Linked DNA regions of Alligator mississippiensis. The protein of the gene in region 2 interacts with the protein of the main gene of each other region in a pairwise test. Links are inferred from orthologs where the notes say so. Each region holds a gene or a part of one and is shown on either strand. Other genes may lie near its edges.

Region 1 (7,166 bases), on a different chromosome or scaffold from region 2:
ATTTGGTGCATTGGATGAGGTATATTACATTTCTGGAGGTGCAGCTGTAAGATCCTGGGATGCTGATGGCTCTGTTGTGGGGTGTAGTAATAGTGGGGGTGGTGGAGATGTGTTGGCAGGTTTTGCATTTCTTGTCATGGCGCGGTCTGGATCCATTCAATGTGTTCTGGGCTTGAGGAAGTTTGCTTCTGGTGATGAGGTTAGCGAGGTTCGGTGCTTGTCTGAAGGCTAGGATGCGTGGCTCTGGGAAGATCTTTTTAAGAATAGGGTCTCTTTCTAGTATGGGTTGCAATTGTTTGAGGATTTTTCGTACAGGTTCAAAGGAGGGGTGATACGTCATAACCATCGAGGTGCGATTTGTGAGGGGGTTTCTTCTGTACTGCAGCAGTTCTTCACGTGGTATCCAGGTGGCTCTTTCAAACGTGCGATCTCTCTCTCTGGAGGAGTGTCCTTGCTGGGTGAAAGCCTTTTTAAGATTGGTGAGGTGGCAATCCCGGGTGTTCTCATTCAGTGCAAATGCGGTGGTATCTGAGGGCTTGGCTGTATATCACAGCTTTTTTGCTGTGTTTAGGGTGATTGCTGGTTCTGTGCAGATATGTATGTTTGTCTGTGGATTTCTTGTATAACGTGGTCTGTATTTTATCATTCTGGATACTGATTATCATGTCTAAAAAGGAGATGCTGGTGCTGGAGTATTCTAGAGAAAGTTGGATGGAGGGATGGTGATTGTTGAATTTCTGATGGAACTCAATCAGAGATTGTAGGTTTTCAGTCCAAATGATGATGTCATCGATGTATCGTAAGTACAGCAAGGGTTTGATGGTGCAGTTCTTGAGGAAGTCTTCTTCCAGGTGGCTCATAAAAAGGTTGGCATACTGTGGGGCCATTTTAGTGCCCATAGCTGTTCCCACCATCTGGAGGAAGTGTTGATTATTAAAAGTGAAATTGTTGTGTGTGAGGATGAAGTGTATAAGGTCAGTAATATCTTTGGGTATGTATTCTGAGTTGTAATCTTGTTCCTGTAGATATGTAAGGCAGGCTTAGATGCCATCGTGGTGTGGGATGTTGGTATATAGGCTGGTGACGTCCATGGTGGCTAGGAGTGTGTTGCTGAGAAGGTGGTATATGTTTTTAAGTTTCTGTAGAAAGTCTGATGCAGATGTATACGTTGTACCACAAAATACATATTCAGAGCACTGGATGGGTAGACTTCCTGTTGAAGTCAAAATAAATCCTTTGGTCAATGGTACATTAGCAGTGTTAATTAAAAAAATTAAAATAACAAGTAAATAATAGATGTTTAAGTGCTATTTGAAATGCACATAACATACTCCCTCAGCTACTAGAGAAAACATTGCCAGAGCTAGATGTTGAACTCTGGAATATTTCCTTGCTTCACTGTTCAGATTTATGAAATATGAGATTTGTTCTAATGCAAACAAATCACTAAGACCAATCAAGCTTCAATTTCTCAAGGACAGGGATCATTGTATTTATGTAAAATCAAATTTTTAGACATTAAGGCTGCTCTAAAAATCCAATTTTTTTGCATGACGCTGGTTGATCAGGCATTTCTGTCAAATCCCCAGAATAAAAGTCTTCTGGTAAATGAGATGTTGCAATTTGTATTAAGAAAATCATGGAAATGAGCTATTTCATAGAGATTTTTAGTATGGGACATGCTTCATATACACATGCACGCATCTCAAGAAACAAATTCTGACTGCATTATCATGGTTTACCAAATTCTGACAATCCATGCTGTTGGCTAATATATTGCAAGGTAAAGGATATTCCTCTTTGGATGAGTGAGTCTGTTTTTAAGCTCTATGTAATTAAATTGGTAGGGAAAAATATTTCCGATACTTCTGTTCCATATTTTATATAAAGTAGATCAAGTTTTAGAAAACCCTCTCACCCTCTTACTAATGCAGAATAGTAAGCTTTTTTTCTTGAAAATATGGGAGTTTAAGCTGTCAATTTTGGCAGCATTCAACCTTTCTTTAAAGAAACAAAAACAAAGAAAAAGGGGGAAAAACTTTCTGGATGTAAATGTACACTTCCATCAGCAAACCAAGCATCCTCAGTGCTGGTTCATCTTAAAGAACCCTGCAGACTGACAGCTCGAATGTGTAGCCTGCTGTTACAGCTCTGCAAACAGCAACCCAATGAAATTAACAAGTCTCCCACTTTTCAGAATCATTTAGGAAGCGGCAAAGCTTGGAAGTCGGTTTCATACTGCTTCTAGTTCTTAGCCTTAGATTTGACTCGTAGGTCTGCTACTGGCAAGGACATTTTAATTTATATTTGTGCCAGTGTAGAACCAAATATATTAGAGCAAGTGACAATTGGGAATACAACAATCAAAGAAAATGAAAAAGGAAAAACCAGAAATGCGGCACAGTCATCTACAACCAAACAAGCAGAATGCAAAGCAATGCCTTTAGATGCTCACAGTTGAATTTAAATGCCATTGGGAAAATAAATCCACACCTGGAAAAGTAGGACAACTGCTGTTCCTTTCCAGACCTCTAGGCTTCAGGCCTGAATAGCTTGTAAACAGTCCCTTGCTTGCTGTGCGTTAGAAAAGGTCAGGTCCCAGAAATATTGTTACAGAAAGAGGCAGCAATTTTGGGATGCAGTCTGGGTGATGGGGGAAGAATATGGAAGAGTTTGTTTTTGTATTTATCTACTTCTGTTTTATAGATTTAGATCTCTAGCAAGGAAAGTTTGGTAAATGATTTAAAGCTGTACTAGGGAAGATCACTGCATCTTGGCCTTTGGCAAAATAGTTTTGTATCCTAGCTACTGAATCTTTTTTTTTTTTCCTGACAGAACATTTAAATGAAAAGACAATAAATGGGAGTGCTGTATTTTTTCAATATTTGAGGCTGGGTTTGGAAAATGAATGATGTACTTATTAATAAAATCCTTTAAGAGGTTTTCTTTTTTCTTAAGAGAATGTAAATGTTTTGGAGCATTTTTGATGAGATACAACTTTCTTGGTGGAAGCCATATACTTCAGATACCCAGGTCTTCCTGCTGGTATTGCTTGTATTGTAGAGCAGAAAAGATACAGCAGGGCATTCATTTTGAATTTTTGTTTGCCGACATTTATACCCTGTTTGCCATGATCTGAGTGATGTTTGAAATGTTTTACTGGAAATGTAGTGAGGGCACCAAGCTGTTTATCAAGGCATTGTCTAGTGCAGCGGTTCCCAAAGTCTGACAGATTGCGCACCACCAATTTAAAATGATACAACCTTAAATACCACCCGCAAATTTTTGTCATATACAGTTATTATAATAGATCTGTTAACCCGTACCACTGACAGGTTGCCTGCGTACCACTGGTGGTACCTGTACCCAAAGCCGACCCTAGTGGGTTTTGGGGTCCAGGGCAAATCAGCCTGTGCGGGGCCCCCTTAACACCGGGCAGGGCCTGTGGGACCCCCCTCAAAAGCAGGGCATGGTCTGGGGTCTCCCCCGCGCCCGAGGAGGGGGAGTCTCCGTGCTTCTCCCGAGAAACAGGGGGAGCCACCAGCACCAGACCCTGCGGCCGCTCCACCCAGCTCCACGGGCCCGGGGCAGTCGCCCCGATTCGCCGTGCCCTGGGGACGGCCCTGCCCGTACCACAGATGGGGAACCGCTGGCATAGCGGTTGAAGCAGAGCTTGGGAGGCAAGAGACTCGAGTAATAATCTTGCTCTGCTGGCAATTGTAGCCGGGCCTTACGCTAGCAAAATCAAGAGGCTTCCTGTCTTCAGCGGGAGCAAGATCAGGCCTGGTGTCACTTCCAGCAAGCGGCTCCACCTGCCTGGGCCTCAGCTTTCCCGTCTGTAAAACGGGAGCCGACGGGCGCAGAAGCAACCCGACAAACACCGCTCTGCACCGGTCCCTCCGCCTTTCCCCCCGTCCTGGGGAGATGAACAGATCATCGCCCCAAGGGCCCAAGTCAAGCTCTCTCAAACGCGGCGGCTTGGACGTGTCCCGCGGGCCTGCGGCTGGGGCCCAGCAACCTCCCCGGCCGGCCCGCGGGCAGCCGCCGCCGCCGCCGCCGCCGCCCCACACCACTCGGGCGCGGCGCGGGGCGGGGCGGGGCGGGGCGGGGCGGGTTGCCGGGCAACGCAGGACGCGGCGGCGGCGGGAGGGGAGGGGAGCGGAGCGGCCCGGCCCGGCGCGGCCCCCCTGCCCAGGCCTGTACACATGCAGGCGCGAGCTGGTGCAGGCCCGTGCCAGGGGCACCCTGGGCCGCACAGCCTGGTCCAGGCCTGACCCGTGCCCTTGGCAGTGCTGCGCAGAGGCAGGCTCCTGTGTTGGGTTCAGCCCAGGGGCCAGGCCGCAGCCCCCTGTTGTGGCGCTGAGGGGCCCCGACCCGCCTGCAGCGTTAGGGAGAGGGCGAGGAGCCGATGAGCAGCAGGGGCAGGATGCCTGGGAACACGAAGACGCTGGACCCTCGCTATTTCGTGCTCATCAAGCCGCTGCCCAATCCCACGCAGAAAGGCGTAAAGGTGCGGGCCAGGAGCAGCACCGCGTACCGGCGCTGGGAGCCCAGGCGGGAGGACGTGTTCTGGGAGAACTACCACCGACGGCACCAGCAGCTCACTCGGCAAGGCTACTGGACCCCCAGCTGGAAACCCTACCAGGAGCTCGGGGAAATGCTCTACCTAGAACCAAAGAAACTCACCCTCTACTACTTGGGACAGCTCCCTCAGGTAGGCTTTCCTCTCCCGCTCTGTTTTCCGTTATTTCCCATTTTTGGTTTTCAGTAGACGCGAGAAGAGCATCGTACTGTAATTAAATTGCGGAGATGCATTCCCATAGAAAAGAACAGTCAATTTCTGTTTAAGGAACAAGAAGGGAGTCTGCAGCAAGGCGCCGCGCTGGCCGATGAATCGATAATTCCGATGTGATAGAATGAATAATGGCAGCGCGGAACATCTGTACAAACGAAGCCAAACGTAGCGCTCTGACCTTTTGTGTTGCAGATTGAGAACCGAGAAGAGAGGTATTTAGAGTTGAAAGTTTTAGTACTTACTGTTTTAACAGAGCGGAGGAATTAGACAAATGAGAGTGAAACTTAGAGAAGGGGGAATGCACTCTTTTGTGGGATGGGTAATCAGATCACCCCTGAAAAAGGAAGGAAAGGAAACAAACAGAAGAGGCAATATATAAGAGTGAGAAAAAAGTGGTTGCACAGAGAACAGGAGTCATCAAAGAAATGATGGGTTTATAGTGTCAGACTCACTCTGCCCATCCTTTGGGCTGGATCTGGGCTGCAGTCCATACATTTGATACCCCTGATCTATAGAATAGGCAGTGGGTTAGGAACTGAGTGTAAAAGGGACATCTCAGAATTGGAAACAAGGTGATGGGTCAAAGAGTGAAAAACATTATCAAAGAGGGTGGTGTGAAAGCCCTTGTATCAGTTAAAGTTATTTCATGTTATGAACTGTAAGTGTATTGGAGTTCACAAAGTCAACTATTGTTAACTGGATCTGCTGTTACATTTAATACCCATTTAAGTATTACTTCATCATAGTCCCCTTGCTGTTAGATATTGTGTAAGTGGGTAGAGCTCTACCATGGGTCTTCATTACTGTCTGATTTAATGACAAAAAAATTAGTTTGCTTGGTTGCACCTGAGATGAAATTATAAAATCCTGTTTGTTAGCTTTAGGATTGCTGCCTCATGCCAGAAAATTTGTCTCCCTTATGTTCATGCTCTCATCCAAGGGAAGTAACTCCACCTGTTGTGTGAATAAGCCTGAATACTCTTCTACTTCTGCACCCCAGTAACTGTAATGCGGGCCTTGATTTCAACTGAGCTGTACTTTCTAAAGTGGTACCCAGGAGGCAGTTGTTTGCATCTGCCATGGAAATCAGTAGTGGTGTGGTAGAAGGGAGGAAAACAGAGGAGAGACTAATCACCCACTGCAGAGGAGATTCTGACTATTCGCTGCTTAATTCTCTGCAGTGAATGTATGTTGGATGAACTTTCAGAGATATAAAGACTTCCATTCACTGTTTAAAGCTTTCAAACAGGCACTGGTTCCCATGCATTATTTTTCTAACTTTCTGACATGTGATCATCTTCCCCTATTAGGTCAAAGGTATGGTTCTATGGGTACATGGGTGTACTACCAATATAGCCATCATCTTTGACCTCTGAAAACCCTTTCTTCTGAACCTACAAATACCTTTAAAGGTTGATCTTTCCATTACAATGTGGAAGTCAGTGGAAATTTTGCACAGGATATGGGCATTATAAAGGGAGATATTGAAATTGAGTTTGAATACTGGTATTTGAGATTTAAGTCAAATTAGCAGGTTAAAAATGTATACTTTCTGCAAAAATGAGCTTGATCTGGGTCAGGTCTGTATTAAAAATACAGTGTATGACTGTAACTTAAGTTGGAGATTTTCTAAGCTCATGGGGGAATTAACTGCCCAACTCTTTTATTATTGTGGGATTTGTGTGGCTAAACCCCCTAGTCAGCTTTGTAAATCTCAACCAAATTTATGTAATAAAATATGATTTTACTTTAAAAGACCAAACCTACCTTACCATAGCACTACGCTGGAATATTTTTATGATTCACTATATATTCAGAGTACTATACCTTACCATTTCAACCACTGGGTGAGTAAACTGTAGAATTCTAGAAGTGAAAAATATAATCTTTTTGACTACATTTGCAATACGGGCCTTCCAAAAGTTAGCCTTTGATTAGCCTATGAAGAATAGCAATACTGAGTAATAGTGAAGTCTAAACAGAATAGTCAGAAGATTAGAGCCCTCTGTGAGTTGAATTAGACCTGGGCTGGAGTTCTTCTGTAAATTAGCATCTGTTGACAAACACTCTTTCTTAAATGGAAAATCTCCCAAAAAGAACTAAAAAATGATTGAGAACCTATTAGGACATGATTACATAGGAAGATGTGAACATGAGTATAATGATCATTAGCTAATTACACATTTAGAGTATTATTTAAGTGCCTGGTGATAATAAGCATATGATATTAGCCAACAAATAGGCCCCCCAAAAGCTGTATCTTTATTGCTTATTTCTGTGTTGTTATTAAGTAAATCTGTTATCACTGGAAATTAACAATCAGTATTTGAATGCCTGACTGTTGTATTTTGGAAGATCTGCTGTGGTGATG
Region 2 (7,206 bases):
CCCCACAGTGAGGGAGGAGGAGGACTGGGGCTGGCATTGCCCAGCTGGGGCAGGGCATGGGACAGAGCAGCTCACCCAAGGGGTGCAGGGAGGGAATGGCTCATCTGGGGGGCACCCCCTCCCTCTCCACAGCCCCTGGACGAGCCACTTGCAGCTCCGTCCAGCGCCCTGCCCCAGCTAGGCAGCATCTGCCCCGGCCCCACCCCTCCCTCACGATGGGGGCCTCAATCCCCCCTCCCCCCACACACACACACACACCCCCCTTTCCTCCCCTCCTTTACCCCAACAGACTTACCAGCTGGACGCTGCTCTCCAAGTTGCTGGGCTGGCTACATGATTGCTGCAGCTGTGTGCATGCACACAGCATTTATCAGCACCATTACTGGCCACATCAGCCAAAAAAAGTCAAATGCTGATAATGTCAATGTTCTTTTTACTGGTGCTGATATGATATAGACTGTGATGCATCTGTGCACCTCTAATTATCATAAATCCTCTCCTTAAGGATCTATTTCTCTCCATAATAAACTCTGAACTTAATGAAGGTTTGTGAATTCCACTCCAGGAGCTGGACAGCTACATCCCTCAGTGTATTTAGGTCTCAGTTCTTTGCCACAGATTCGTATAGAAATACAGGCATTAGAATAAGATACCAGTATTAAGACACCTTAAAAACAAACTGAACTACTTTGCTTTAAAAAAACCCATTACTTACACAAGTATAAGTTTGCAGAACTGAAGCCAGGCACAGAATTCTTTCCCATCAATCAATTAACTTTCTACTGTTTTTCTCAGCTATTTTTCTTTTTCAGATACAAACATCCTGTTTAATAACCTTAACTGCAGTGTGCAGGATGATAGTAACATTACAAATATAGTAATTTAACAAATGTTTGAACAACACATGAAAAACTGAGCATTTTTCAGCATTCTCCTTGGCAAACCTATTCATTTTTTCCTCCTTTGGCTGCTGCCTCCCTCTTAGCTGACACTCTCACTGAGATGTCACCTAGATCTTTTCTTCCTAAGAGGTTATAGCAGGTCCAAAAGCCATCAGTGGGTATGAGTAGCTTAAATTAGCTCTTTCAAACTGCATTACTTTGTGCTTGTCCGATCATGTGACAGTCACTAAGTTTCATTAGAAACAACAATTCTGGTCCTAGAGCTAATCCCTGGGGCATCCTCTATTAACCCCAAACCAAAAAAAAAAAAATCATCAGCAGCCCTCAACTCCCATTCCGCACTTTTTATCTCTTAACTGATCTTTACTTCTTGAGAAAATTACCTCTCAGTGAATGGTTACCAAGGTCCCTGAATAGCCTCCTGTAATGTACAGTGTTAAGAGCTTTTACAAAGTCTAGGAAACTGCTGCTTTCTTCCTAAATATCATGGCAAATGCTATTTAACAAACCTCTACTATCAACCATATTAAGTTATACATTAGCTGCCCCCCTTTCTTTATCTTATTAAAAAGACCAGGTATTGCTGGCACCATGAGAAATATTTGACAAAAAACTTCTGGAGCATATCTAGTAGCATTTCACCTGTGAAGCTGTCATGTTTATTATTAAAGTCTCCACAAGTGCCATTAGCAAAACAACAAATGCAAGACATGCAAAAAAATCTCACCTCAAAAAAATCCCACCATAAACCAAACAGACAAATTAGAAATGATGATCAAAATCTGACTTCCTTTTGTTGACCTGTTTTTAAAAAAATATTTCAGTCCGTAACCAGAACGTGCTCCCATTCCTCAACAGATCCAAAAAAGACAAGCTGTATCTATCAAAAATCAAATCTACAAATATTTCAACAAGCAGTGAACTAAATAATAGCTAAAAAATTATGATACATCTAGCCATTTAAAAAACCCCTCCCTTTTTGCACTAGATGCAGTCAAGATTTTTCTCTCTCTACCAAACTCTTTATACAGATGTTTTTAAAAGATATTGATCATCAGAGAAAAAAAAAAAGGTTTGACAAGGAGAGATTTGACACAGAGCCAAAATATAAGAGTTAAATATTAAATACTACATAGAAACTACATGAAAAATCCAAATGGCACAAAAACTAACCCTGTATAAAACCTCACACACATAACACACTTACAATAAAAACAAAGACAAAAAAGGCATTTCTACATCCTTTTACAGCTCAGCGCAGAGCGTCTCAAAAGTGCCTGTATCATACACCTATCCATTGCAAAAATCTTACCTGTATACAAGTATTTCACACTTTATTTTGCTACCCTTACACTAGTATCAATACCTATTGCTAATACGCAACTTGCTGAACTATAGGCATTAATAAACATTCAAAGCCTTCACGTAATGAGCTGCAAGAGCTGTGCTGGCGTATCCCTACCGTTACAGTGACCCGAAGGACAAACACCTCTTGAACCCTTCCCAGCGCGAGCGTTTTGTCCAAGCCCACGCTTCTAAATAGTGCCAGCAGAGACATGTCAGCTGGGGGCTGCGAGCGTATCCCACCCCCTGGCTCACGCAGCGAGTTCAGCAAAATTATTAGCCACCTGCCTGCTCGGTGCCGACAGAAACGGTCTTCTCCCCGCTCCGGTTACCTTCAGGAAGGCGGCTTCCGATACACAGCCCGCTGTGGGCACACGCCGTGCCCGCACTAGGGAGCGAGCCGGCCTGCCTGTCCTCGCTGAGACCCCGGCGCAAGCACCTGAGGACGGGCGGCAGGCTCTGGATCGGATGCCCACCACAGCTCCCCACTCACAGCCTCTGACTCAGAGAAGCCGCTTTGTTATCGTGGGCGATTCCTCGAGAGAGGCGCTAGGCGCCACGCGGGACGGCCCGCGGGGGGAGCAGACACCCCGGGCAGCGGGGCCCCCCCAGCAGCGCCCACCTGGGCTGGCGGCAGGGACCCCTGGCCCCTCGGACCCGCTTCGACACCAGCGCCCCGCGGACAACTTCGCCCTGCCCCTACCTGGAGCCGCTATCGCCGTCGCCGCCTCCGCCGCCCCCAGCACCAAACGCCGCGGCTGCCGAGAGCCGCGCGCACTGCACGCCCCGCCCCGCCCCGCCCCGCCCCGTGCGCACGGCAGCAGCTCTCCCTACAGGCTCGGGGAGCAGCCGCCCGCCGCTGCCTCCGCGCCGCCAGGAGCCGCAGCGCCCCCTGCCGGCCCCCGCGCGCGCCGCAGGGGCGCCGAGCCCGGCAGGCTGCGGCCAGGTGCCACGGGAAGGGCTGGCCACAAAAACAAATTCCCAAGTGACAAAGTTGGGGAGGGGGAAAGGGAGGCTGCGGAGCCTTGTCATTGCTGCCTACCTCTTCCCTGGGCTGGGCCTTGACACAGACCCGCGGGAAGGGCAGCCCCCGGCCCGCCTGCCCCAGCATCCTGGACCAGTGCAGAATGTAACCATCACGTGGTCAGCGACGTGTTGGGGCCGAAAGCACCCGCGACCTGGACTTGTATGAGATGAGATGGGGGAGCCACGAGGGGCCCGATCTTTGTCGTGGCAGTGTGGCCCCAGGCCCTTCTCCACCAACCGCCCCGAGGCGCGTGCCACGTGGCATGTCTTCGAGCGCCACGCTCTTGGAGGGTGCCTGCCCCTTCCTGAAGCGGCCCTCAACCCTGACACTACCCAAGGCACAGCACCCCAACTTGCCACAGAGAAAGCAGGAGAGCCAACATCCTGCTTCTTAATGCATGCTTGAGAGATCCCGAGGTCTTACCGTCCACATCCCCCCGCCACAGGAAGACAAACCTCACCCCCAGTTGGTACCGGTCAGGAGAGGAAAATTTCATCCCCGGATACCAGGATCGATGTGACCCCAAGCTGAAGGTCAAGACCCTCTAGCCAGGAACCTCCCACTTAGTGCCAGCAAAAGCCATCACAATCCCCAGCCTTGGCCGCAGCCAATGCCCAATGCTTTTTCTTTACTTATGGGGATTTTTCCCCATCTTTAGTTTTCCCTGAGCCTGAGGAACGGTGTGTGTGCCCAAGAGCTTGCAGAAAAAGATCATTTCTTTTGTAATTTCTTAGTTGGTCTAATGGGAGGTATCATCTCTGAACCAAGAGTTCTAGAGTACTGCATTTCTGTTCTTGACCTGGAAGCTGAGATATATGTGACCATCTGAGTTCAGGGTTCTAAGGCAGTGGTTCTCAACCCCTCCCAACTCAAAGCACCCTTCAGAATATGCCAGCTCTTTGTTTTCACTCATCATTTGACTAAGGAAAAAGGATCTTTTTGTCCCCCTGTTTCAAAGAACACAGAGAGATAATAAAAGGTCAGAATGTTTTAACTGTGTGGATTCCTATTTGAAATCTCTGGGTTTATCTTGAGAATCATGTCTGTACACCTAACATTACATGGGACCCTGCAACACCCTTGAAGGATCTCAACCCCCCCCAAAAAAGTGCTGCACACCCCGGTTGAGAATCACCGCTTTAAGGAAAAGAACAAGCACACTGTATCACTTCAGACAGATCTCAAGAATTGGCCAACCACTTTCTGGAATCCCTGAAATAGCCATTCTGCCCTGACATGTCAAGAAGGGTGACAAATCCCACTGTCTTTGAAACAGGCACTTCCGTCTGGTCTAAAGTAGTCTGGGTTTATTAAACTTCGGGGCAGCAGTGCTTTTGGCCCCACAGGCCAGATGAGTGGCAGGAGGCCTGTCTGTGGGCCAGATCAGGCCCTGTGCACCAGGATCCAGTCCCATACTACCCAGATCAACCCCTATTTGGCCTCATGCTGCCTGGATCAGCCTCATGTGCCCAGTCTAACAGGCCAGATTTGGTCCCAGAGCTGGAGGTTGAGCACCCCTGCTTTAGGGTAATCTCTTGATTAGAGACATAGAAAACTTATGGTTAGAGCCTACTGCACAAGCCCTTTTCAAAATTCCAAGTTTCTAATTTCACAGAAAAACTAGGAACATTTAGTCAAGTATTTCATACACCATCACCATTTAAATATGGCTATATGAATATGTTTATATTATTTTTCCCATGTAATGAGTATAGTTATAAGTGCAAGTTGACATCTGTACATACAAATGACTGAGCTGTAGTGGATTATTTTATATGGACCCAAGGTACCAGCTTTCTGAATGCCAAAGTAAAATGTGTGTCCATCCTCTTTCTCTTGCAGAAGCTTTACTACACTTGAGTCAAGAAAAATTAAATAGGGTTTCAAATACAACATTTTTGGAAATATTACTAATGAGGAATGCTTTCTGCTGCTTGACTGGCTACTCTCCAATTCTTGTCTCCCTTCAGGTTTTTTCTTAAATATGCAAAACACCACCAAAAAGCCCTATCGACCTAAGCCCCTCTTAAAAATTCAAATAATAATCTCCACACCTTCCCTTATTTTTGCTCTGTCTGAACTCTTGCCCAGTGTCTTGTTTTATCTGGCTAGGACTGTAAGCTCTGTGGGATAGTGTGTCTTAGTTACATAGTTCAAGTTCAGTTTACAATACAATGTCAAAGTTATTAATGCGTTTATTCTTTTACTAGTACAGAGCCAGCACCCATTGTTCCAATCAACTCATAAAACATGCTGTATTGAAAAGACAGGATGAGAGATTCACAGATTCATAGATGTTAGGGTCGGAAGGGACCTCAATAGATCATCGAGTCTGACCCCATGCATAGGCAGGAAAGAGTGCTGGGTCTAGATGACCCCAGCTAGATGCATATCCAACCTCCTCTTGAAGACCCCCAGGGTAGGGGACAGCACCACCTCCCTTGGGATCCCATTCCAGACCTTGGCCACTCCAACTGTGAAGAAGTTCTTCCTAATGTCCAGTCTAAATCTGCTCTCTGCTAGCTTGTGGCCATTATTTCTTGTAACCCCCGGGGGCGCCTTGGTGAAGAAAACCTCACCAATTCCCTTCTGTGCCCCCATGATGAATTTATAGGCAGCCACAAAGTTGCCTCTCAACCTTCTCTTGTGGAGGCTGAAAAGGTCCAGGTTCTCTAGTCTCTCCTCATAGGGCTTGGCCTGCAAGCCCTTAACCATACGAGTGGCCTTTCTCTGGACCCTCTCCAGGTTATCCGCATCCCTCTTGAAGTGTGGTGCCCAGAATTGCACGCAGTACTCCAACTGTGGTCTGATCAGCGCCTGATAGAGGGGAAGTATCGCCTCTTTGGATCTATTCATCATGCATCTGCTGATGCACGATAAAGTGCCATTAGCTTTTCTGATGGCTTCGTCACACTGCCGACTCATGTTCATCTTGGAGTCCACTAGGATTCCAAGATCCCTTTCCACTTCCGTGCCACCCAGCAGGTCATTTCCTAGGCAGTAGGTGTGCTGGACATTTTTCCTCCCTAGGTGCAGCACTTTGCATTTCTCCTTGTTGAACTGCATTCTGTTGTTTTCTGCCCACTTGTCCAGCCTATCCAGGTCTGCTTGCAGCTGTTCCCTGCCCTCCGGCATGTCCACTTCTCCCCATAGCTTTGTGTCATCCGCAAACTTGGACAGAGTACACTTCACTCCTTTGTCCAAGTTGCTGATGCAGACATTAAAGAGTATCGGTCCAAGGACCGAGCCCTGCGGGACCCCACTGCCCACACCCTTCTAGGTCAAAACCGACCCATCCACCACGACTCTCTGGGTGCGACCCTCCAGCCAATTCGCCACCCACCGGACTGTGTAGTCATCCAAGTCACAGCCTCTTAACTTGTTCACCAGTATGGGGTGGGATACCGTATTGAAGGCCTTCCTGAAGTCTAAGTATATGACATCCACCCCTCCTCCTGTGTCCAGGCATTTCGTAACCTGGTCATAAAAAGAGACTAGATTGGTTAGGCACGATCTGCCTGCTACGAACCCGTGCTGGTTTCCCCTCAGCATAATTTGTCCTGCCGGGCTCTCGCAAATGTGAGCCTTGATAATTTTTTCAAAGACTTTGCCAAGGATGGAGGTGAGACTGACTGGCCTATAGTTGCCCGGGTCCTCCTTCCTCCCCGTCTTGAAATTGGGGACCACATTGGCCCTTTTCCAGTCCTCCAGGACTTGGCCTGTGCGCCACGAGCGTTCAAATATTCCTGCTAGTGGCTGTGCAGTGATGTCGGCCAGTGCCTTCAGCACCCGCGGATGGAGCTCATCTGGGCCTGCCGACTTAAAGGCATCCAGTTCTTCCAAGTGACTCTGCACCATCTCAGGGTCTACGCATGGTAGTCTGGCATCCTGCTGTTGCCTCTCTACAATCCCAGTGAGAGACTTGTCATGCCC
Region 3 (7,324 bases), on a different chromosome or scaffold from region 2:
TCTTAGCTGAGAATGCAGAGACCATGTTATGGAAGGCTTGGTCAATGCTTGACTCTCTCTGTGAAGAGATAAAAATGGGATTTGGAAATCAAATAAGCCTGGTGCCTTCCATGCAACTGAAGGGAAATCATATGCAAACACAGCAATTGTGTGGAAGGCTCTCAGACTGAGGAGCACCACAAGCCCCAGGGCAAGTAAAGGTATCACTCACTGGGCAGGTTAACTCCTGCGCAACAGGAGCCCCTGTTAATAGTCTCAAATGTCACCTACTCTGGTAGCAGAGACACTGACCATTCCAAATATTGTACACAGGTATTACTGCACCCCTAGCACTGTACAGAGGTATTACTCCTGACCCATTTTACAAGGGCACCACCCCAGGGTTTGGATTTGAGCTCCCCTCCTATTGGCACAGCAGGCAGCAGGGCTAAATGTGGCTCCCGCATGGCAGAGGTAGGGAGCACTTGGGAACCCCTTAGTTCACACCTCTGGCATCTGCAAATGAACTGGGATGTCAACACACGCCCACACCCTGCTAGTTGCTCAGGAGCAGGTCGAACAACTCTAGCTTGATATCTGGCTTCCTGCAGGCTTCAAGTCACATGCTCCATAACAGAAAACACCTCCTAGATTTCAAAGATCCCAGGCCTCATGTGCCCTGAGACTTGAGTGTATGCCCTGCAGCCCACGCAGTGCTCTGGCACATACAATAGGTCCAGTTAGGACACACACAGTAGGTCCAGTAGCTTTGCAGCTGCTTGTCATGAAACTGATGGGGAAGGAGGATCCAGTCTGACAGGATCCAGATTGAAGAACCCACAATAGTTGCCTCCATCCTAGATCTCCCTTTCATGTTGCACCAATTACCCTCCCTATATAATATGATGGCTCCCTCCTTTTTCACTAGTGACACATCCCTGCTAGCAGCTGCAAACCTGCTGAACCTGCTCTTAGAAAGAGGCTTGCCTTACCTGACTTCCTCCTTGGGTTGTTGCTGGGCCCTCTGAGCAAGGATCTGATCACAGATCATGTCATATGGCTTATCCAACATGTGCTCACCCATGACCCAGACCCAGACTTCACTGTCTGCTCCGAGCTTCCACTTCACCGACTTCCCCTTGGCTGCAAGACAAGCATTCATGTGGCTGGGCAGGGTGAACGGCAACCTCAGGGGCTGCTCTAGCTCTTTCCTTCCATGCCCTCCCTTCCTCCAGGCAGCTGGTGGGACTTTTGGGTAAAGCAGGTTGGTCTGGGAGGCAGCAAGGAGCACAGGTTATGGGTGAAGCTGCTAGCAATTTGACATGCCACATATATTTGTAGAACAATATCTCCCTCAACCGGAGTATTGGCTGGACCAGATTCCCACACTTTGCCCCATAGCTGTGTAGCAAGCAACTGCACTGAGGTTGGTGGGATTCTGTATTACATCATGGTTATGAGGGAGACCAAAGCCATTTTTCCCAACTGAGGGCCCCTTCCCTTGCTCCAACCCACACCATGTATTATTCCCTTTTCTTGGGGATGTTGTAAGGGAGCTCAGCTACCTGCCTATTCTGTTAAACTCCCTGTAATTCATTGAACCATGTTTCAATGAAAGACATGGCTGGGGACACTGCCTGGAGGAACAAAGGTGGTTCCTCAGCAGTGGAGACCAGTCTTTGCTGCTCCATGCTTCCTCTTTGGCCCTAAGGTTAATGGCGTGGGAGAAAGGAATGGCAGGGACTCCTATGCCTAACAGAGCAATGTGGTTGCTAGTGAAAATCCCAGCATGGCCTCAGGTCTGGAACCACCTTAATGCTATGTGACCTCTCGCTGGCTGTGAGGGTCATGCTGTTGCCTGCTTGCTGATATAGCCAGCCCAGACAGGGCTTTCTGCATGCCTCTCCAACAGGACTTGCCAACACGGCATGGACTGGGCTGCTGAAAAACAAGTGTATGCACCCAGAAGAGAAGTATTTGAAATATCTCAGTCCATTTAGCTGCACGGTCCAAAGGCCCATACTGCTTCAGCCTTGGTCTTGCTGAATGGGTGCTTGAGCAGCTATTTGGAGAATCTAGAGACCCCATCAGGCTGGGAACTATACATACACACAGCTCCTGTACCAAAAAGCTTACAGTCTGCATGGATGAGACAGACAATTATTCCCATTTTTTAAGGCAGGGAAATGGAAGGGGTTTGACCAAGGTCAGTCTTGGAAGCCAACCCCACCTTGCCTGAGCCAGAAACCAAGGTTTGAACCCAAACCGCACCTGTGATGGCAGGAAACTGTATTTATAACCATTTCCAGCTGTGCTTCCCTAACCAAAGCAATATCTCTTTAGAAATGCTTTTCACCCGGCTGCAAAGCACCCATTGAAGCAGCTTTGTTTGTCAGGGAGGGAAATGAGAGCTGGAATCTGCTTCTGGGCAGAGTCTTACCTTTCCTTGGTGCAGGTTTTTTTGTTGAGCTCTTGCCTGTGGCAGTTTCTCTTTCCTTCCACCGTCTGACCTGTTCTTGCCTCATCTTGAAGAAGAGGATCTGTTTCTGTTCCTCACTGAGCTCTGCCAGCAGGTCAGGATCAACGTACATATCTGCCAAAATCTGTTTCAGCATGGCTGTGTCTCTCAGGTATTCACACTGGTAGCAATGAGTTTTAAAGATGAGGTTCTCTTTTGTCACTCAGGTATGCCTGGGCCCGCAAGTCGCTGCACACACTGATCGCACAGCAAGAATGCAGGCTTCCTATGGTAATTATATTCCCGTCTCTGCACCTATTTTAGCTCAGACTTCCTGCACAGATGCCAGAAAAGTAAATAAACAGCTTCCAACCTGTTATTAGAATTCCCCGTCTCCTTGGTCTTTCAGGGACAAATTGGTATAGACTTTGCTCATAGTGAGAAAACCATGTTTGCACCCTGATAATCTCATCTGATACTGTATCAAAAAAAAACGCTCCATGTATAACAAAGTCAGAGGTGTGGCTTATTTCTGGGTAGGCAAACATACCATTGCTCAAGAGGCCAATGAACCTGTGGGTCTTCAGCTAGGAAACTCCCTGCTCCCTCCCACACACCTTTTGAAAAAAAAGAAACCACTGAGAATGCACCATACAAGGCTAAAAGGTCGACATGCCCCATTTTATCTAAGCAAGCACAGAGTGGGAGGAACAGTGATTTTTGGCCTCCCCACCCACAGAATCTCAAGTTACAGTGCACTATCCCCAATACAGCATAAGAGGCAGGGCAATTTGTTCAAAGCCACTAGAGCTGGAAGTAGCTATAGGCTGACAAGAGCTGAGAAGGTCCAGGGGTGATATTTTTATTGGTGTGAAAAATGTTGCTCATCTCCCTTGCGTAGTACCTCCAAACCATGGAAGGAGATAAACAGGAAGGAGGGGGAAACCCTCCATAGGCAAGGACATATCTCCACAAATAGAAGTATGGTACTATGATCTGGGATGAGGAACTGGTTATAAAATACTGGTGTGTACATGAGGGGTCCTTCTCAAGCAAACTGGAAATACTCAACTATTCCTAGTGAAAGTCTTCACCTGCTCTCCCTTGAGTTTCCACTCAGTCTGCTCCACAATTAGGTTTGGCTGTAGTTGCCACATCTCAAAGCTGTTTCTGATGCCTGAACTTTTAGAAATCAAATGCAAGTCAGCCTCAGAGTCCATTAGACCAGCCTGTGCACTGCTTTCTTTGTCCTGGACTTAAGGGCTAGGGACAGACATTATACATAAACTGGTATAAGTGATTGGAAACTGGTTTAAACCTGTAACAGAACAGAAGTTCAGTGCACATAGAACAGCTTCAAAATGGTCAAAACTAGTTTAAGAGAGGCCTGGATGGATGTAATATCAGACTTAACTGATTCAGGTTAAACCCATCTATTGAACTTCTGTCCCAGATCCCCTCTGGACATAAGTTAGGTCTCAGTCCACCGGCATCCCAGGATGTATTCCAGCCCTCACTAACACCCCCTGCTGATTGGGTAGGCTAACCTCTGCCCCAACTTGTCTGCTCCTGGCCAGCTGGGAGGCCGCCCGCAGCTGTCACAGAGCTTAGGCAGTCTCCCCAGCCCCACTGGTAGTGGCAAAGGGTTGGGGATTGGGGCGGGGGAGGGGAGGGGAATGTACCCCTGCCCCAGCCCCAGCTCCCTCCAACCAGGGACTGCACAGCGGGTGTGGAAGGGGTGGGAAAACCTCTGAGGTGGGGGCTTTTCTCCCTTACAGCACAGTTCTGCTAGGCTCTGAGTGCCCCAGCTCCAGCCCTGCCCCATAACCAGTCCCCAACTTGTCAGCCGTGGGGGAGTGGGTGAGGGGGAATGGACCCTCAGCCAGGGTCTGCACATTGCGGAGGGGGAAGGCAAACTAAAATTAAGCTTTTCTTGCAATTTCTGGTGTTTTCATTCTTTCCATTAAACTATTTACATTTCTAAACAAAAGATCCTTTCAAAATCAAAGATTTGCATTTTGAAAATGTGATAGTAAAGCATTGTGGGTTTCTCAAAATTCTTTTTTGCCATTTTTTTTTCAGCCAAAACTATTTGCTTAATTTGACCCACATGTATGAATCATTTCACAGCCAGGACCTGAAACTGCAGATAAGCTATTTGGTCAAAAAAAAAGAGTTCATCCAGCTCTAGAAATGAATCTCTTAATTTTCCCATTCATCTGTTAGCAATGTGGGATTTGGGCACAAGTTCTCTGGCAATGTAAGTGGCAGATACAGTCTAAGGCTCCCAAAGATTTTGCCATTGCTTTTCCAAAGAGGGGCTTTGCCAACTAAGCGTGAGACAATTGATCAAGAGTTGAATGGAACCCAAGTGTCTTGAGCAAGACCTATCTCAAGAAGCCCTGAAGGTGGAAGTAAAAACTGTAATACCTCTCTTTTATTAACTTAGAGTTCTGGGATATTTGCCTGCTTGCAACCAGCCCAGAGATGTACAGTAGGACAGTACAAGTGTGTTTGGACCATACTCTACAGTCTCTTGGATCATAACCATCCTCAAATAACCCCTGCCATCTTTTCTTGCTAGGATGAAGCAAAATAGGACTGTAGGAATATACTGACCTTGAAAACCTAGTATAGGCCAAGAGCATGTATGTGAAGCTAGTGATTCAGGAGCCTTATCAGTTTGCACTGCTGCTACCCATCTCCAGCCAGCCTGTCTGGGGCAGCATTCCTCTTGTTATCTGGTTCGCCTCAGTACAGGGGCAGGTGACTGTGCTCAGAGGCTGCTGCCCATATTGTAAAGGCTGTGCACATCTGCAGGGGTAATCATTTTTTGTCCAGCCTGCTTTTTCATGCATTCATAGATACAAATGCCAGAAGGGATCATATGTACAGCCAGTCTGGCTTCCTATGGGAAAATTAATAAAACCATTTCTGCAATTAGCTCACACCTTCTCCCGTGAACTTGACTGCATCTTGAGGGAAGAAGTCTAGTCCTATTTGCAAGACTTCAAGTGATGAAGGCTCCACCACATCCATTAATATACACTGTGCAGCCACATGGTTGGCTGCTTATTACTTGCATGGTTAAAAGTCTGAACTCCCCAGTTTGATGTTCTGTAGCCAAAGACCTTTGGTAGTGCTGTTGTGATTTGGCTGGTTGACCTTTGGTGGGCTAGCATAGCTGAGAGGAACTGGTTAAGGCTAAATAAAAAACATTAAAAAGGCCGGAGGCAGAATTGATCTGTTACATGGTTTTCTATAAGTGGTGTAGTTTAGATTAGTTGTAAACACAATGCGCATTTGCCTTTTGGTGGGAGGGGGAGGCGGGAGCGAATCTTAGACTGAGTTCTGCCATTTTTAAACCAGTCTATGCGTGCCAAACATCTAACCTGTTACAAGTATAGACCAGTTTTGTGTGCTGAACTTTTGTTCTGTTATGGGTATAGACTGGTTTCTGATCACTTATACTGGTAAAGGTGTAATGTCTGTACCTGGCCTAAAAGTGCCAGCAAATATTTTGCTATTTGAGGGAGGATCAAGCCCCTTGGGCATAGGTCAGAAGGCTCAGTGAGACATACTGAGACACCTGTAGGCACCAGCTATCCAGAATACAGGAATAAGCAAGATCAGCATTGATGAAAGAACATTTTAAGACTAGATATCAGGTCAGCTCATTCCACATCTAGTGACAGTAGTGCTTGGTGCCATCTGGGTAGGTTTGTTGAAAGGTCAGAATAAAGCGTTTCCTGGCAATCCTAAGGAAGGCAGACTACAAGATCCTGTGGTACACTGCGTCCTTAACTCCGGCCTTAAAAAGGGCTCAGACATACAATGTGCTTACACTTGTAACCCTGCTTATGTAATATATGCTTTCTTATGGTTATGACTGTTATGGCAACTTTGTGTATTCTTTCTCTGCATATCCTGATTAGTATGCATGTTTGGAGGTTTGGGGGCTACTTGTACCTGATTTTACAGACCTATCTCCCACAATCACAGGAACGTGTCTGGGTGAGAGGAGAAAGCCCAACCTTCCCCATTCAGGGAGACCCATCCCCTATAATCAAAGGAGTATATCAGGAGCTAGACAAGGGCCAACATGTGTTTTGCCCGATGAAGTGAATCTGCTGTGCTGCAACACATTGTGGCACAACAGATCTGCTTCATTCAGTGACATCAATTTCTAGCCTAAGATTCATGATATCTTTAGTTCTCCATGATTACTTAGCATTATATTTTTTTTTACCCCTAATACGGATGTGGCAGTTGTGCATATTTCAATCTTAACCATCCTCCAGTTTCCTCTATGGTGTTTTTCTTTGGGCACACCCATAAATGAAGCAAGTTATTCTTCTTTTGTAACATACTGTTCTCATGTTTATTTCTATTTGACTCCACTCACAACCATGTATAATAGTTTCTTATAATAGTTACAATAACTATTGCGCTTTGCTGAGATGAACATTGAATTCACAGGACCTTATAACAAAATATATTTGACGACTGCATACAGTCTTCTTGATTTCTTGAACTTTTCCAGGGGCACCAGGCTTAGCTCTTCTGAGCTAAATTTAACTCCTGATGTACCCTGTCCCTCAATTTTTTTCTTTTTTTGAAAATTTAGCCCTGGAGGGAGGGAGAAGTGAACTCATTTACATTTCCAATAGATGAAGATTATTTTGAATGGGAATCTGCAGCATGACTGGACAAGTTTCATTTGTTGCCTCCAATAAAGCAGTGGAGTATCTAGACTATTATCCAACTACCCCCTTTCCCAGCAATTTCAAAGAGGGTGTGGGGGAGAGTCCTGTAGAAGCAGATGAGACTTTGTGGGCTCTCACCCTTAATCACTGACCAGTGTGGATGTCAGGGCTAGAGAGAGGA
Region 4 (7,365 bases), on a different chromosome or scaffold from region 2:
CAGAAAGCTTCCCCCTAGAATCGTGCACCAATGCAACATTCCCCTGACCTAGTCATGGCTTCACCTCCTGGCGCACACATCTTGCCCCTCTGCTGAGCCCTGCTTCAGCCCGCGCCTCCCCACTCAAAACCAAAGTCAATGCTCTGCCTTATTAAGTATTACAAAGAGGTTTAAGATGCAGCTACCTCTGGCCTCATATTTGCTACTACAGTCTCTTTTCCCTCTCTCTCTACTTAGCCCCTAGCAGTGATTTTGGAAAAGGTGATGATTTCACCAAATACCTTGACACAGATTTTGGAAGCATCTAATTATGAAGATGAATAGTACCCATAGCACTCGGTATGGTGAGGCATTGTAAATAAGATGTTACAGCAGTTTAGTGCATCTTTTAATGAGGGAGAAGGGAAAGAGGAGCCCTATATTAACCTTACTTAAAAGAAACCTGCATCTATTCCATCTAAATCTGGATTTTTATTGTCTGCTCCCTAGCTGCATGATTTACCTGCAATAAATCCAGAGTCATGGGCATACTTTTCAGCTCCTTCAGTAAATCCATTGCACCGTCCTACGAAGGAGAAAAGACATCTCTCGGTTACTAAAACTAGTGAGCCACTTCTGGTATCGCCAAAGACAAAACAAATCAATGCAACCCTTGAAAAATCACCTCACTGGAGCCAAAGCAAATAATATCCCTCCTTAGTACGTCAACCAACTAACCCTGGGCCTGATATTTTAGCCCCCACTATTCCAGTCCCCATCATACAGAGGGCTTAACGAAGGCACTAGAACGAAGCAAAGCAGAGACAAACATCTTTATGCAGAACATCCAGCCTGGCATACAAACACATTTGTATTGTGCCCTTATAACAAAAATTTCTGAGCAAGGATAACTTCATAACAATGCACTTACAAGGGTTGCTCCTTTAGCAAGTATTCTCTTCTGACCTTTTCCTGTAGCAATAATTCAGCAATGCTTGCCAAGCTATTGCATCAGAGGTTCTCAAAGCACTCTGCAACCACACATGTGGGATATAAAGCTGCTGTCCATTGCAGCACTTACGTCGCTTGTAGGACACAAAGCCTGAAGCAGCTGCTACCCGTAAACTGTCCCTTTGAGAGCCCTCCAAGCACAGCACCAAAGCAACAGCGAAGTCAGGGAGGTCACTTGGAAAACATCACATAAAACAGAGGTGGCCAATCTGTGGCATAAGTGCTACCAGTGGCACAGTCAGCTTACAGACTGGGGAGGGGGGCAGGCCACACAGCAGGGGATAGCACAGGCAGCAGAAAGCCAAGCAGCAGGTCGGGTATGAGAAGGGGATCAGAATGGCACTCGGGGAGGATGCAGGGCTTCATTCGCGGCACGCCTGCCAAAAATGTTGGCCCCACTGACATAAAGCAGTCACGTGTCAACTTTGTTGAGTCCAGAACACGCAGCTACCAGCTCCATCAGCCCGCACGCGCTTTAACCCCTGTTACAAACCATCACACACGGGAGGAACAGAGACATTAGCAATGCTTCGCTTCTGCAGCATCATCCTCCATGCAAAGCTACAGCCTGGAAGGTGTCAGTCTCCGCTCAGATTGCCGTCGTTTCCCATCCCCTTCCACGAGGGCAGGCCTTCTAGCGTTCACGTTTAACAGCTCATTCACAACACTAATCACTCCCGACCGACTTGCAACGCAAGACCTAGGCTGTGACTGCAGTGGTGTGGAGCAGCCTGCCTCCCTCTCCATGCTAAGTTTCCGATTCCTCTTGGGAAGAGCTCCAGCTGCCAGTGATCCTGCAGGACAGAGGCTGAGAGAGCTAAATCAAAGCGGAGTTGAGGCTTTCAAGGCACGCATATAAGGGCAAACCCTCCGGCAGAAGCCTTCCAGTTTGGCAAACCTCCGGCCCTTTCGTTCTTCCGGCATTCAGAGACAGGGGGTCAATTAAACCCGGCCTTCGCGTCGCACGCAGCGACCCGGTGCCTGGCCCCAAAAGGGGACTCTGCCATTCGCGCCGACGGCGGCAGACCGGGCCCCGGGACGCGTTGAAGACAGGAGCGCTTTTATGGGACGGGAAGAGCCGACGCAGAGCACGGAGGCCCCAGGGCAGGCTCCCAATGTACCGCGAGGCCTGTGACCGCAGCAACCCAAGGGGTTTCGTGGCCGCCAGATAGAGACTCCCTGCTCCGCGGGGCTTGGGAGGGCAGCACGGGGTCGCCAGGCAGGTGGAGGCCGGGGGGTCACCCCGGAGGGCAGCGGGGGACCGGCACGGGCACCCCAGTAAGATGGGGAGGGGATGGACCACGGGTGACCAGCAGGGGTTGCCATGGAGATGCAGTGAGAGGGAGGTACCCCAGGGAGGAGCAGGGGGTTGCCATGGGGGCACAAAGGATACCCCAGGGTGGTGGGTTGCCATGGAGACAGTGGGGGGTACCCCATGGAGAGACAGGGCTGCAAGGGGAGGACACCCCAGGGGTTGCCATGGAGACAGAGGTGTCCCCATGGTGGGGCTGGGCTCAGAGAGGTTGCCGTGGAGACACTGGGGGGTACCCCTTATGGGGCAGGGCTCAGGGGGAGCGGATAGTCCATGGGGGGGGACCCCAGGGGTTGCCATGGAGATAGCAGGGTATCCCATAATGGGACAGAGCTAAGGGGGCAGGGATAGCCCCCCAGGGGTTGCCATGGAGATGGCGGGGTACCCCCCATGGTGGGGCAGGGCTTAGGGGTCAGGGATAGCCCATGGGGGTTGCCATGGAGACAATAGGGAGTACCCCAGGGGCGCAGGGGTTGCCATGGAGATGAAGTGAGGGGAGGGGAGGTGCCATAGCTACCCCATGGGGGCTGGACCCCCCCCCCATGCCGCGACGGGGGAGGGCGACACCCCTGGGGGCCAGGTTGCCATGGAGACGCGGCCTGGACTCACCGCGCTCTTCTTGGCCACCATCTTATCGAGGCGCTTGGCGATTCGCACGATCTCCTCCTCCCCGCCCATGGCGCCGGGGCGCCGCGGGCCGCCTCCCCCCGCCCGAGCACCGGCCGGGCCCCCCCTCCACCACGCCGCCGCCGCCGCCGCCGCCGCCCTCCTCAGCGCGGCCCGGCCCGGCCTGCGGCGCGCGGGGCACGACGGGAGCCGCAGGCCGCCCGCCCCCCTGCAAACTACCGCTCCCAGCAGGCAGCGCGCCAGCCGCGGGGCACGCTGGGACGTGCGGCCCTCCGCCTGCCCACCCCGCGCTGTGCGGGCGGGGCCGGACTACAACTCCCAGCAGCCCGCGCGCCGGTGCCAGCCCAAGGGCGCTGCACCTAGTGCATCCCCAGCCCAGCCGAGCCCTGACCCCTTCTCTTCCCCCTCCATCTATTTCAGTGATGCTCAGCAGCACCCAGGGGAGCCTGGAGCTCCTTCCATGCCAGCCCCACGCTGCGGGCAAATGTGATTCACAAGAAAAACCCAGAGATTTCCACCCAGACCCCCTAGGCAGGGACTTTGCCACCAAGAAACATTTCTCTGATATTTGTCTGTAACCCAAACAAGCTCACAGCACCCAAAGGAGCCTTGCGCTCCTTCCATACCAGCCCCAACCTGCAGGCAAACATGATGATTCACAAGAAAAACCTGGAGACGTCCACCCAGACCTCCCCTCCCCTCCCCCGCGGGGTCTTTACCCCCAAGAAACATTTTTCTGATATTTTTCTGTAGCCCAAACCAGAGGGAGAACCACGAGCCGGCATTTCCCAAGCTGCCTCCCGGTTGAGAGCCCTCAATCGGTTTGGTTTTGGAGCAGAGATGCGGGGCCGGCTCTCGGAGGAGCCGGGGGGTTGTCGGACAAAACGAGCGGGTGGTCGGTTTGAAACTAAAAGGCGAGGAAGTTGGTTCCCACAAGAGTGGGACTCGTTGTCGCTGGATGTGGTGGGAGCTGGCAGTTCAGCCAGATGCACCCAGGGATCGCGCACCTTGGAGGAAAGGGGCATCCGTAGCTATGGAGCGCGGGAGTGCGGGGCACGGCCTCTGCATCCGAGCTTTAAATGCTGGGGGCTGCAAGGGAGAGAGGAACAGGGTGGGGGACACCCTGGTGAGACCCAGTTTGCTCTCCCTTTCACCTCCGCTCTCTGCCGCCGTGATGCAGGATGGGTCTGACCCAGTCCATAGCAATTCTTAATGTTCTTATAATCCTGGCTATAATCTCTCCGTCCTTTGCCAGGCTTTGCAAAGCAGAGTCAAGTCCAGGGCAAATTCTCTGCAAAGCAGGCAGCTGTTGTGGGGAAGGGTTCCCAGATGTTTAGGCTGGTGCGGGCTGCTTTGCCGCACAGATGCTGCCCTCCCCCAATAGAAATGATTATATTTTGGTTCCAGATGCCCAGGGTGGCGTTTGGGCTTTGTTGAGAGCCTGCCTAATTGCAGAGCAATCCTATACCTGGCTGGTGTGCAGCAGCCATGACCATGCATGGATGGGAAACAGATGCCAGAGAGCTCACCCACCTTGGACACAAACTGTTGTGCTGGGCTCAGCAGGCTCTAAAACTTCCAGATCCTGAACAAGTGCCAGGTGCCTTCTCCAGCTTTTGGTCTCAAGGGTCATTAGATCCAGGGGATCTAATGCTGACCCCTCATGCTCCCTCATAATTTAAGTGCATCCTCTTGCAGAACCCCAACCGTGTGAGTATCCTGGGATTTGTGTAACCTTTCAGGGACAAGCACACAGGCTTTGCAAAGAGGGTCCTGAAATCACCATCGTTCTTTACTTAGGAGATGGGCGTGAAGCATCTAGGTCATCAAGCCCAGTCACTTGCAAGCACGGGCACACGGGCAATAAACATTTGTGCAAAATGGGACAAAGAAACACCGGCTCCAGCCCTTCCCAAACACCTCAGCCACAGATAACAATGCTAGGCACTTTAGTCCCAATCTGTAGCATGCCAGAGGGAAAGAGAAGAGAGAAGAAAGGCACTGCCAATGCCTTGGGCCTCTACCACAGTAGGGATTTGTTAGGTAAAATGTCTAGGGGATGCTAAGGAGTGCACCATGCCCTGTGCTACAGAGGCAGGGAAACAGTGATCCTACAGGAAATTCTTCCCTATCCCCATATCTGGCAACCAGTTTGATCCTAAGTTCATAAGCAAGGCACCTGGAGGATATGCAGCATGCCTCAGGCAAACCTCCAACACTTCAGAGGAAGTTAGAAAACCCCAGCCATCAATCAATGCATTCATGTAGGAGGAGGGCAGCAAAGGGGCAACTAAATGGGAGATGACATTCAGCAGAGGTAAGCGTAAAGTGATGCACATGGGCAAAAATAGCCCAACCTACATCTACACGCTGATGGGCTCTACATGAGCCATTACCACACAGGAAAGAGATCTGGGAGTCATCCTGGGCAGTTCACTAAGAACATCAGCTCAGTGCTCAGAAGCGGCAAACAAAAATATTAGGGAGTATTAGGAAGAGAATTGTAAGCTAAATGCAAAGTATCACTATACCCCTTTATAAATCCATGGTGTGCCCACAGCTTGAACACTCAGCCCTTTTTTAGTCCCCATGCCTCAAAAAGGGTATAGAAGAACTAGAGAAGGTCCACAGAAGAGCAAAAGGATAACGAGTGGTATGGAGGGGCTCCCATATGAGGAGCAACTAAAGAGGCCAGGCCTATTCAGGTGGGATGAGACGCTGGAGGGGGGAACATAATGAGGGTTTACAAAATACTAAAAATGGTGACGAGAACATAAATAGGGAGTCATTACTTATTATCCCTCTCAGTACAAGAACTAGGAGTCGTATCTAGTAGGCAGTAAGTTTAAAAACTACCAAAAGGAAGTGCTCTCAAAGCATGTAATTAAAGCGTGGAACTCGTTGGCATCCGATGCAGCGGACGCTGACAATGCAGCCAGATTCACAAAGGGCCTGGACACGTTCTTGGAGGAAAGAGGCATCAGTAGCTATTGAGCACAGGAGTTCAGGGAAAACCCTCTGAATCAAAACTTCCTGGACTTTAAAAGCTGGAGGCTGCAAGTGGGAGAGGAATGGGAGGAAAACCCTGATCACACCCTGTTCGTTCTGCCTTTCAGCATCCAGTCTCTGCCAGTCTGGAGATTGGGCAAGACGGACCTATTGCCTGACCCTGTAAACGATAGTTCTTATGTCTTCCTGGCCCCTACAAGCGATCAGCAAAAACCCTGAAGCATGTGAAGGAATACACCGCCCTATGGTGCAGTGGGTATTGAGGGCACGTGAATTCTTCCAGAGGAAGGAGAAGGGCCTTGTCAAGTACCACCCTGAAGCGCCAAGCTCCTTGCCCCACTGCCTTGTTCAAGAAGCTGTCCCAAAACCTTGTTCCTCTGATGGTGGGAAGCCTCCTTTTCACTTCCAATGTAAATGCATCTGTGTGCCCAGTTTCTATTCAGCTGATCTTACATAGCTGCTGTCCCTTTAACTGTAGTCACTCTTCCCTGGGATTCATCCCTGAATGCATTTATGGAGGGGTCACATCCCCTCTCACCCTCTGTTTCACTGGGATCAATGAGCCAAACTCATTAAATCTCTTCTCTTGGGACAGGTTCTCCATTCCCCTCATCTCCCCACCAGGCACAAAGTCCCGTTTCAACTCATTTTGTGTTAATCGTGGTGATCAGAATGGCAGCAAGATGCTAAATGAGGCCTCCCCGGTGCCTGGCATTGTGGCATTAATGTTTCTAACTTTGCTTAGATTGCATTAGCCTCTTGTAGCTGCACCACAGGGATGGCACATGGTCATCCTGTGACTGACCGAGACGCCCAGCACTTCCCTTCCTCTGTTGCTCCAGTGAGCCCCTGGATTTACAGCAAGAGTCCTGACTTCAGTCCCTGAATGCAGACTGCATGTTGTACTACCCAACTCCATAGCATTGCTATCCCTCCAGTCTGCTGCTGAAGTATTCCTGTAAAATCACCCTGTCTTTGCCTTCCTCCAGCCTGTCATTGTGTAGTAAGGGAATGCAATGAAAATCTGGAACAGCACGGGGCTCAAAGTGGATGTGAAGAGCTCTCTCTGCATAGAGCATGCCCCAAACTGACTAATTCCCTGCAGTCCCTTGCTACTGGAATTGCCCTTTCATGTGCCAGTTGTTTGGATAATCCCAGGGTTGGGATAACTGAGTCTCTCCATTTTATCCCAGTTGTGCTTTTCTCTCAGGTCTACTAGTTGCCATTACCCTGTCCACACACTCCTATGACATTCCCTACAATTGCCTTCCTATGCATCCTCTTCCTTATTAGACATGCAGGTGTGTTCATGTAAGTATGTAGCATGTTGGGGTTATATCTAGATCATATCCCTAATCCCACTTTGAATGCCCGGTGGCACCACTTCTTCCCTCCTAATGCTCTATTCCTGTGCCTGAAAAGCCCTT

What was found.
Region 1: the proteins of MTUS2 (region 2) and CCDC60 interact in binary tests that used the Homo sapiens proteins (3 or more experiments, as listed by UniProt). The two-hybrid records come from large-scale screens. The link is inferred for Alligator mississippiensis from reciprocal best matches to the Homo sapiens genes MTUS2 and CCDC60.
Region 3: the proteins of MTUS2 (region 2) and SH2D4A interact in binary tests that used the Homo sapiens proteins (3 or more experiments, as listed by UniProt). The two-hybrid records come from large-scale screens. The link is inferred for Alligator mississippiensis from reciprocal best matches to the Homo sapiens genes MTUS2 and SH2D4A.
Region 4: the proteins of MTUS2 (region 2) and TCEA2 interact in binary tests that used the Homo sapiens proteins (3 or more experiments, as listed by UniProt). The link is inferred for Alligator mississippiensis from reciprocal best matches to the Homo sapiens genes MTUS2 and TCEA2.

Annotation. Positions count from the first base shown.
Region 1 is NC_081833.1:21,831,702-21,838,867, reverse strand, and holds the start of CCDC60 (coiled-coil domain-containing protein 60), read left to right. Parts: upstream 1-4,157; 5' UTR 4,158-4,408; coding exon 4,409-4,714; intron 4,715-7,166.
Region 2 is NC_081824.1:427,352,741-427,359,946, forward strand, and holds the start of MTUS2 (microtubule-associated tumor suppressor candidate 2), read right to left. Parts: upstream 3,009-7,206; 5' UTR 2,950-3,008; intron 1-2,949. UniProt on the Homo sapiens protein: Binds microtubules. Together with MAPRE1 may target the microtubule depolymerase KIF2C to the plus-end of microtubules. May regulate the dynamics of microtubules at their growing distal tip.
Region 3 is NC_081825.1:132,233,205-132,240,528, reverse strand, and holds the start of SH2D4A (SH2 domain-containing protein 4A), read right to left. Parts: upstream 3,020-7,324; 5' UTR 2,595-3,019; coding exon 2,420-2,594; intron 1,123-2,419; coding exon 972-1,122; intron 59-971; coding exon 1-58. UniProt on the Homo sapiens protein: Inhibits estrogen-induced cell proliferation by competing with PLCG for binding to ESR1, blocking the effect of estrogen on PLCG and repressing estrogen-induced proliferation. May play a role in T-cell development and function.
Region 4 is NC_081832.1:3,006,896-3,014,260, reverse strand, and holds the start of TCEA2 (transcription elongation factor A protein 2), read right to left. Parts: upstream 3,022-7,365; 5' UTR 2,981-3,021; coding exon 2,912-2,980; intron 566-2,911; coding exon 503-565; intron 1-502. UniProt on the Homo sapiens protein: Necessary for efficient RNA polymerase II transcription elongation past template-encoded arresting sites.